2 linked regions of the Nothobranchius furzeri genome follow. The protein of the gene in region 1 binds, or shares a complex with, the protein of each later gene. Links are inferred from orthologs where the notes say so. Each region holds a gene or a part of one and is shown in the gene's direction. Other genes may lie near its edges.

Region 1 (3,817 bases):
CCTACAAAAATAACTGTCTTAGTTTTAAAAGCTGTGTTTTTATTATCCAAATTAGGGATGCTCCGATCCGATCATGTGGTTTTCAGGAAATCAGAATCGGGTGGGAAAAATCGGATTTAACCTTATTAAATAACAAACATTACTTTTTAAATTTATCTTAAAGAGATTTTCAAATGGAAAAACAACAGCTTAGTTTTAAATTAAACACGTTCTTCTACGCCACTATTCTTTGTTTCACAGACAACGCTGTAAAGTCCCACAGTTTAAGGTAGTCTGGGAATTCACACACCATAACATGTAGCAGTTAGCTAACATAGCACATACTTGTAACCTTAAGAGAGAGAGAATGTCTGTAATTGGGATGTATTTTAAAACAGACATCAAAAGGAGTGAAATAGACTCGTGTAATGTGTGCAAACTGGGCATTTCATGTGGTTGAAAGGTAGTGCTGCGTTCAATACTACGAAGCTGATGCGCCATCTTAAAAAACGGACCCAGCTCAGTCCGCTGCAGCAATTCGAATTAGCTAAATGCCAAGCTAGCAGCACACTTATCACACTGGATGAGCGTCTGGGGTTGAGTCGCGGTATGATCTGCCTTCTCTCCCTAACTTTACAGACGCAGCAACTCTACAGGTGTTCTGTAGAACGGAGTGACCCTGTTGCTGACAGTCGTGTGCCGTGACATCCCTGTTGCAGAAAACAGCCGCTCACCGAGCAAATGATTTAAAACATGATCGACAACTAGGCTACTTTAACATTTATTCTTGTACTGAACGCGTTTTTATTAATGTAATTCCTAATCAAGTGATTTTTTAACAGAAATTACATATATAAATGCATTAATGAATAAAAAAAACTTAAAGGACAACTTCAGTGTGTTGTCCTTTTTTCTTAATGCATTTCTAAAGTATCGAATCGGGAATCTGTATCGGCAGATTGTTCAAATCAGATGACTCTGAATCGGATTGGATCGGGATCAAAAAAGCATGATTGGAACATTCCTAATCTGAATGCTTAAATTCAGCTCCACGCTTCATTTTTAGTGAATCTAAAATTTGTTTATCTTTATTCTGAAAAACAAAATGAATCGGCTAAACTAGTGCAGCAGCAGAAACGTGCTCATATGTCTCACTAATACACTTTAACCCTGTATTTATCTAGACAGTTATTTCATGAGTTTTACTCTTTCCTGTGATTTTCTAATCGCGTTTCTTGCCTCCGTCAGATGACCACGATGTGTTGTCCTTCTTATTATTCAGACTCTCAGAACCAGGCCAACAACCGGTAACTACGGCTCTCCGTCCCAGTTTACAGTTTACAGGTTACAGGAATTTTGACTAAATTCACTTTTTTCCTCTCCCCTGCTCCTTGCGTGTGTGATTCTCATTGAAGCCTCCAGTCGAGTCTGAGATTCCTAAAGAAGAGAAGGACAAGTACCAGGAGGAATTTCAAAACTTCCAGCAAGAGCTGGATAAGAAGAAAGAAGAGTTTCAAAAGGAGCACCCGGATGTCCAAGGAGAGCCAAGTTAGTTTCCTGTTATGTCTTACGACCCAAAGAAAGTCCTGACAAAAACATCCTGATAGCAGATTCAAAATGTTCTTCTTTTGCAGGTTAAACAGTTTAGCTTTTTAAACCTTTTAGCTACAATTTAAAGCGCAATTCCTCCAATTTTTAAGAAAGCTTTGCAGTTCCACTTTCGACCCACATCATATAAGCTTTAATAGACTTTCATACAGACAGCAGTGATATGAAGTATAAAATAAGATGTAAAGCAGATAATTGCTACCATTAATATTGTTTTGAGTCTTAAGTCTGCCGCACACAGCGAGGTATCTGCTGAGTAAACGGCCTCGAATGACCGTTTGCCCAGCAGATACCTCGCTGTGTGCGCCTGATTTTCACTGAGTTTTCCGCTGAGGTGAATATCTGAGCAGTTTGATATTTTCCACCTCACGGGGGGTGAAAACTCACCATGTGCTGCTGGCAAAGCTGAAATATTCTAGTGGCCCATCAAAGCGTGTTCTCCGCTCACATGATTCCATGATGTATTCAGATGCAGCCCCCTGCCCTGTCTGCATGTCAGAAAAATTAAACGGTACCTTGCGGATCGATGGGCCCACTGTTTCCAGGATCCAGGCGACGGTACTGTCAGATTCTGGGTTTTCAAGGCGCATCTCTTGGAGTAGATTGGCATAAACGCCTTGCTTGTCCTTTCTTTCCAGCCACCATACCCATACTCTCCTAACCTTGAAATGATGGTGGCGGCGACGCCTCATCAACAGAAAAGTAAAGGCATATCCTCCGTTTCCAGCTCTGTCTTCGTTTTGTTTGTTTTCTGACATGCAGACAGGGGGCTGCGATTTTGGGAGCGGAGAACACGCTTTGATTGGCCACTAGAATATTTCAGCTCAGCCAGCAGCTCACGTAGTGCGCACACGGTCCACCGTCAGGTGTACCATATCAAACCGGTCAGATATTCACCTCAGCGTTTCGTGAGGTGGAAAACTCTGAGAAAATCCGGCGCACACAGCGAGGTATCTGCTGAGCAAACGGTCATTCGAGGCCGTTTGCTCAGCAGTTTGCTCTCGTGTGCGGCAGGCTTTAAAACGGGGTGGAAATGAGCTCTGCTACATCACACCTTTGTAATGGAAATGATTCTGTTTGCAAAAATCACTCGATGCTCAGATAAAACTGTAATTAAGGTCCTATTTTAAAGAGCTCTACTGTTCTGATATGGCAGAAGTCATGACCTATGTAGTTTACTGCAGCCATCAGAATTGGACTCAGAATTATTTTATTTCATCAAATAATTCTTCAGTCTAATGCTCATGTTGATTTTAGCCTCAATTTCCTTAAATCCTGTGTTTGTTTTTAATTTTATGTTGGCTGGACTAAACTCATCGACAAGAACTGCTTCTTGTTTTATAATTTATATTATTGATTTGTTTAAGTTTGTATTGTAAAGAAACATATTAGATGTATTTTTTTTTCTTATTTGTGTTTTTAGTTTTTACCAGAACTTTGTTTTATTTATATTTTCTTAAATCTGTTTTTATGTAAGTTGAAGATTTGTATGAAAGTGCGAGCGACCGGGAGATCCGACAGGTGTTCGAAGGTCAGAACCGGATCCATCTGGAGATCAAACAGGTCAACCGGAACCTTGCTATGATCCTGGACGAGCAGCGGCGGTACGTTACCATCGTCAGCGATGAACTGGCAAAGAAGGGGACAAACGCCGTGTCAGGACAGGTGGGCATGTCATCACCAGGAAACAAACTAACACAAATAACTTCCTCTTGTTAAAACGTTGGGATTAAACGGCAAGCCGACTTTTAACAATAGCAGGTTTTTCTGTGTTTTGCTGTTTAGTGACTTCATAAACCAAGAAGAGTTCTTCATTTGACCCGTGTTTGTTCTTCTCTCCCAGCAGGATCCAGCCACTCAGCAGCTGAGCTCCATCGTGGCTACACAGCAGGAGGTTGTCAGAATCCTCAATGAGATGAGGTAAAAAACAGCAGTTTGCTTGGTTTTAGAAACTAGCTGTTGTTTTTGCAGCAAACATAACGGGACATCCGTTATATCGGAGAAAAACAAGGGAAATCCTGCAGGATAAATCTCTTAAATCATATTTAATCTCAGGATGTTGTGGCTGTAACATCGCAGGTGTCTGTCAGCCTGATAATCCACCTCCTCTAAAGTCGCTCCACTGCTCTTAAAGCTGATTCTGTCGACACGATAACATGTAGGGATTTCCCCACCATGACAATTTAAGGTGCTTTACATTGCCCACCTTTGTTAATTCATCCACTGCTTG
Region 2 (4,614 bases), on another chromosome or scaffold:
AATACTGCAGAGTATTTTAACAAGTTGTTATGATATTATTTTATGTGTGATTCCAGTGCAACTTCACAAGATGAGACCAAGACGAATACGTAGAAAAGCCGCGCGTGAACCAGAGAGGATTTCCCAAAAGGGTTGTGTTATTAGTGGCGTTGTGAACGTGTAAACTCCTTTTGGTGTTACAGTAAAACAAAATAGGATCATTTTCAACTTGTCAACTCTGCAAATGTAGAAAAATAAGTGAATGTCGTTTGTCAATAAGGGATATTTCTATAATAATAATATTAATACTTTATTTTTTATCTGATCACATTTTATTTGTCATTGCCTTTATTTAGGTTTAGTGTCTTCTGTCTGTAGTTTATCTGTTGAAACAACAAAAACCCTTCAGAGGTATTTGATTTGTCTCAAGGCAGAGTGTAAACTGGTCCCTAATCTTTTTTCCATTAACACTTTAACTGGATCAGGCATGGCTTAGAGCTGCAGCAAAGCTGCCTGCATACATGCAAATGAGGGGAGTTTGTTTGGAGCAGTTTCCTCCTATTAATAAGAATTTTGCTATAGTAAGAGCAAAAAAGCTCAAAGAAACAAAAACAAAACAGACTAGTTTAATCTTTATTTTTCTGTTGATCTGGAATTCGTGTTATTTTCAAGACTGGTGAAATAAATAACAATCTGCTTCACTTTGAACTGAACTGTTTGCTGCAGAGAAAAGCAGTAAAGTCTGTGGACGTTTATTTATTTATTATATATACATTTTTCATATTTTTAGTCCAAAGAAGAACAAACCAGGAGCTACAGCTGGGGTCAAAGCTAAGGTCAAGATCAGGAAACCACTAACCCACCAGCAGCTGAACAGAACTAAAACACGAGGGGGGTCCACTACTGAGACTCTATCAGCTACTTATGACATGAACAAAAACCTCCAGCATCTTGAACAGGGACTTGGATGCATCGCTTTCTCTCTGGAAGGTTGACATTTGCGTGACACAAAAGGAGCCTGCCAGTCCTCCCAGCCGTCCACCGCACAGGAGTGTTTGTTTTTCCCTGCGTCGTTTCAATCTGACAGCTGAGCAGCGCGGATTCACGCCCACCTTTGACGTGAGGCCACGTCAAAGCTGGTCTATTTCATTAAGATAGTTCACTTTTAAGTCGCTTTGGACAAAAACGTCTGCTAAATGCATAAACATAAAAATAAACACTCCATAAATAACCACGACTCTCTCTACAAGCGTGTATAAATGACTTTTCACTGAGAAAGCTAAATGTTGTTCACTCTTGTCAGTGATTTCAAATATGAACAACATATAAGAAACACGTGTAGTTTGTTTTACTACGTTATGTTTCGTTTAAAGTGATTTTAGACTATCTATGAAACAAAAATCCATCTTCTGATGCTTTAAACTGACGCACTTACAGTAAAGCACTGTAGTGGCGTTAAGCTAAAGACGGGCTGTGTTTGTACTTTTGATGAATTCCCACGTTAAGTAGTGATTCATCTTACTTTACTTATTTTATCTTTGTTTTCTTTGACCAATCACAATTGAGATGTCGTGTACAAGAGGTTCTACGGCAAGCCAGTTGGTCCGTAAATGCTCAGAGTGCTAACAGCGACTGACTGAAAACAACAAGCGTTCCCAGCGGAGACGCGAATTTTATAAAGGTGGGAACAACGTCGTGTGTTTACTAACTCTAGCAGAACAAGTCTGGTTATTATTGACGTTTTTATCAAGCTTTGTTTATTTAAACGGCCGTGAAACAAACACAAAACATCCTTATGGTAGCCAATAAGCTAGCGTTATTTCGTTGTTTCGCTCATTTTGGGCATACTCCCTGTTAGAAAAGAGAAACGTGATTGTTATTTAAGCTCGCACACTTCTTTGTGATTTGTTTATGTTTACGTTACCTGATGTTGTTACACGGCTGAAACATGACGCACAGGTGTGATTACAGTCCCAGGGGATGTGTAACTGAATTCATCTTTTTGTTTATGTCTCTTTTTATCCATCACAGAATGAGAAGCTGCAGGCGTAGCTTGTCTTGGGGAGCTCTGCTCCTCCTCCTGGCCTGCTGTCAGCTGCATGTTCAGTCCCAGGTGGCTCCTCACCACCACCAGCCTCCACCTGTAATAGAAGGGGCAGCTCGCATATCTGGTCACAGTCGCCTGGACAGAAACATGGTCCAAGACCAGGAGTGAGTGATGCCTCCGGCACGCTGACCGATGATTCAGGGCAGTGATCTCTGCTGCCGTCAACCACAAATAGTGTTGACTCTGTGCAAATACAAGCTGTGGTTTTGTTTGCTTTTCTCTCTGTGTCATCAGTCACATCATGGAGCATCTGGAGGGAGTGATAGACAAACCTGAGAAAGACATGACGCCCCAGGAACTCCAGCTGCACTATTTTAAGATGCACGACTACGATGGAAACAACCTTTTGGACGGTCTGGAGCTAGCCACAGCCATCACGCATGTACACAAAGAAGTAGGTCCATGCTCCACAGGTTTGTTTTTCCTCTCCTGTCCAAAACGGAAGCGTCTTCCTGTCAGTGCGAGGGAAAGGACCTGCGTGTTATAATATCAAGAACAGTTTTCATAACAAGATGATATAAATGTTGTTCTGATGAGAAACGTTCTTGTAAAACATGTTTAAGAATCACAGCAGCTGCGCCACAACTAAAGAGGCTAGTTCGTACACACACACACACACACACACACACACACACACACACACACACACACACACACACACACACACACACACACACACCCCGTTACCAAGGCAACAGACCGTGTAACTGGGTGTTATGATCTTGTGTTTACGTGTAATGAGAGCAAAACACCCAAAAACATCAGATTACAAGTCTTGCTCATTATTATTTATTACATGCAAACATCTCAGCTCTGATTGGCTAACAGCAACATGACGTCTGCTGCCTTCAAAAGTCAAAAAAACCATAAAACATATTTACTTGGTTTAAAAAATGCAACAACGTTTTATCTCCACAAATAATACAAGAGCCAACATGTTCTGCCATGTTGTTGAGCTGCTAACGCTAATGGTTAGCTTCTACTAGCTCCCTCCGTCTCAAGCCAAGGTGGGCGGGGCCATGAATTTTTCAAGTGACGTGCAAGAGATCGGCTATTTCTGATCAGTCTCCTGCCTGCGACTACTGCAGGATGGGGATCATTCAGCATGTATGTGTGACTCAGTGACCTTGTTAAAAAAAACAGTGACATGGTTTCTATGGGAACGAGACTCCTAATAAACTGGTCCTACTTTGTCTTGCAGGAGAGAGGAGAGAACAGCCAGCCGATGAAAGAGGAGGACCTGATTGCACTAATCGATGACGTCCTGAAGGACGACGACAAAAACAATGATGGCTACATAGACTATGCAGAGTTTGCCAGATCCTTGGAGTAGAACCGTGTTTAGCTTCCTTTGTATCCGCGGCGACAAAAGAAGTTGCCAAATGTTGGCAGGAGGCATACGTGGAGACAAGGCTGCACCTCGTCAGGAAAGATCTCACAATCAGTCATGGGCTCGGTCCTCTTCTGATCTTTCATACAGGAGAGTCAGAGCACCGCTGGTGGGTTCATCTCAAAAAACAAAAACTTTTTATGCCTCATTTCAGATCATTTCTTGTAGTTTAGACACTTTTTGCACCGTTTGCTTTGTTGATTTCTTGAAATCGCCAAAGTTTGAGGTAATCTAAATTTAATTTTGTGTTTAATTCTTGGTAAATTCCATGAAAGACGTATTTTCTGTTCTGTCGGTGACCTTTAGAGATGTCGCTCTAAAACTTCCCAGCAGAACTTATTTCTGACAAACTGCAACAGCCGACGTCTGTAATGACTGAATGTTACAAAGGTTCGCTGCTCGTCGGGTTTCCACGTTCAGCGCCGTGATCTGCAGCAGCACCAGAGTCTCAAAAGGTAAACAAGTCTGTGGACTGACTCGGAATGTGGGCTCGTGTCGTCGTAGGGGTGATTTAGTCGAGTCATTTAGCAGCACTTGAGGGAATGTTTAAACGGACCACTTCATTTCAAACACACACACACACACAGCTACTGGCGTGGCGGGGGTGCCACCTCCTTTGGCGGTAGACACCTTTTTCCATTCTCCGGTGTTTTGTTTCCACTTTTCCGATCGGATCCCGTTGTAGATCGATGCCGACCTCCCTGGAGGTGAATCCGTCTCACAAACGCGGAACGCCGAGCCACGCTGCACTTTGCAGGTCCTCTTACTGAAAGCACACATCTGCCACGTCGGTGTCGGTGAAGTACTTGAACGTAAACTTTCAGATGTTCGCTGCCTTTCACCAGAAAAAGGATAAAATCCGTCATTAATTCTGCTGAATCCATCTGTGGAATATTTATTTTCCTGAGATCTAGTTTTTCATATGGATAAATTCTATTTTTGCCATTCAGTCTTGTCTTCAATCAGTTCTGGTTGTTGAATAAAAACAGATATTTGAACATTTCAGAATGTAAAATAAAATCCTGTCCGTTGCACACCTGTGATGTTGTTGCTGTTGGGATCCATTTGGACGGATTAAACTCGTGACACCACGTGGGACAGCTGTGATCCTTGCGTCTTTCTTTATGATCAACAATGT

The links.
Region 2: the proteins of lman1 (region 1) and mcfd2 are in contact, whole or in part, in a cryo-EM structure (PDB 8JP5), measured with the Homo sapiens proteins. The link is inferred for Nothobranchius furzeri from reciprocal best matches to the Homo sapiens genes LMAN1 and MCFD2. Residues at the interface, in NP_005561.1 of Homo sapiens: His43, Arg44, Arg45, Phe46, Tyr48, Lys49, Ser51, Phe52, Lys53, Pro55, His56, Gln59, Ser60, Asp61, Val64, Pro65, Phe66, Trp67, Lys96, Phe265, Glu273, Lys279, Glu280, Ile281, Glu285, Lys286, Tyr289, Glu292, Phe293, Phe296; in NP_001164977.1 of Homo sapiens: Val59, Ile60, Asn61, Lys62, Gln70, Glu71, Leu74, His75, Phe77, Lys78, Tyr82, Asp83, Asn86, Asp89, Gly90, Leu91, Glu92, Thr95, Thr98, His99, Val100, Leu111, Glu114, Leu117, Ile118, Ile121, Asp122, Leu125, Asp129, Lys130.

The regions. Positions count from the first base shown.
Region 1 is NC_091746.1:58,648,466-58,652,282, reverse strand, and holds part of lman1 (protein ERGIC-53), read left to right. Parts: intron 1-1,227; coding exon 1,228-1,286; intron 1,287-1,394; coding exon 1,395-1,527; intron 1,528-3,064; coding exon 3,065-3,252; intron 3,253-3,430; coding exon 3,431-3,507; intron 3,508-3,817. UniProt on the Homo sapiens protein: Mannose-specific lectin. May recognize sugar residues of glycoproteins, glycolipids, or glycosylphosphatidyl inositol anchors and may be involved in the sorting or recycling of proteins, lipids, or both.
Region 2 is NC_091752.1:7,128,729-7,133,342, reverse strand, and holds mcfd2 (multiple coagulation factor deficiency protein 2), read left to right. Parts: upstream 1-1,505; 5' UTR 1,506-1,660; intron 1,661-1,903; exon of another isoform or gene 1,904-2,010; 5' UTR 2,011-2,011; coding exon 2,012-2,190; intron 2,191-2,320; coding exon 2,321-2,480; intron 2,481-3,287; coding exon 3,288-3,419; 3' UTR 3,420-4,574; downstream 4,575-4,614. UniProt on the Homo sapiens protein: The MCFD2-LMAN1 complex forms a specific cargo receptor for the ER-to-Golgi transport of selected proteins. Plays a role in the secretion of coagulation factors.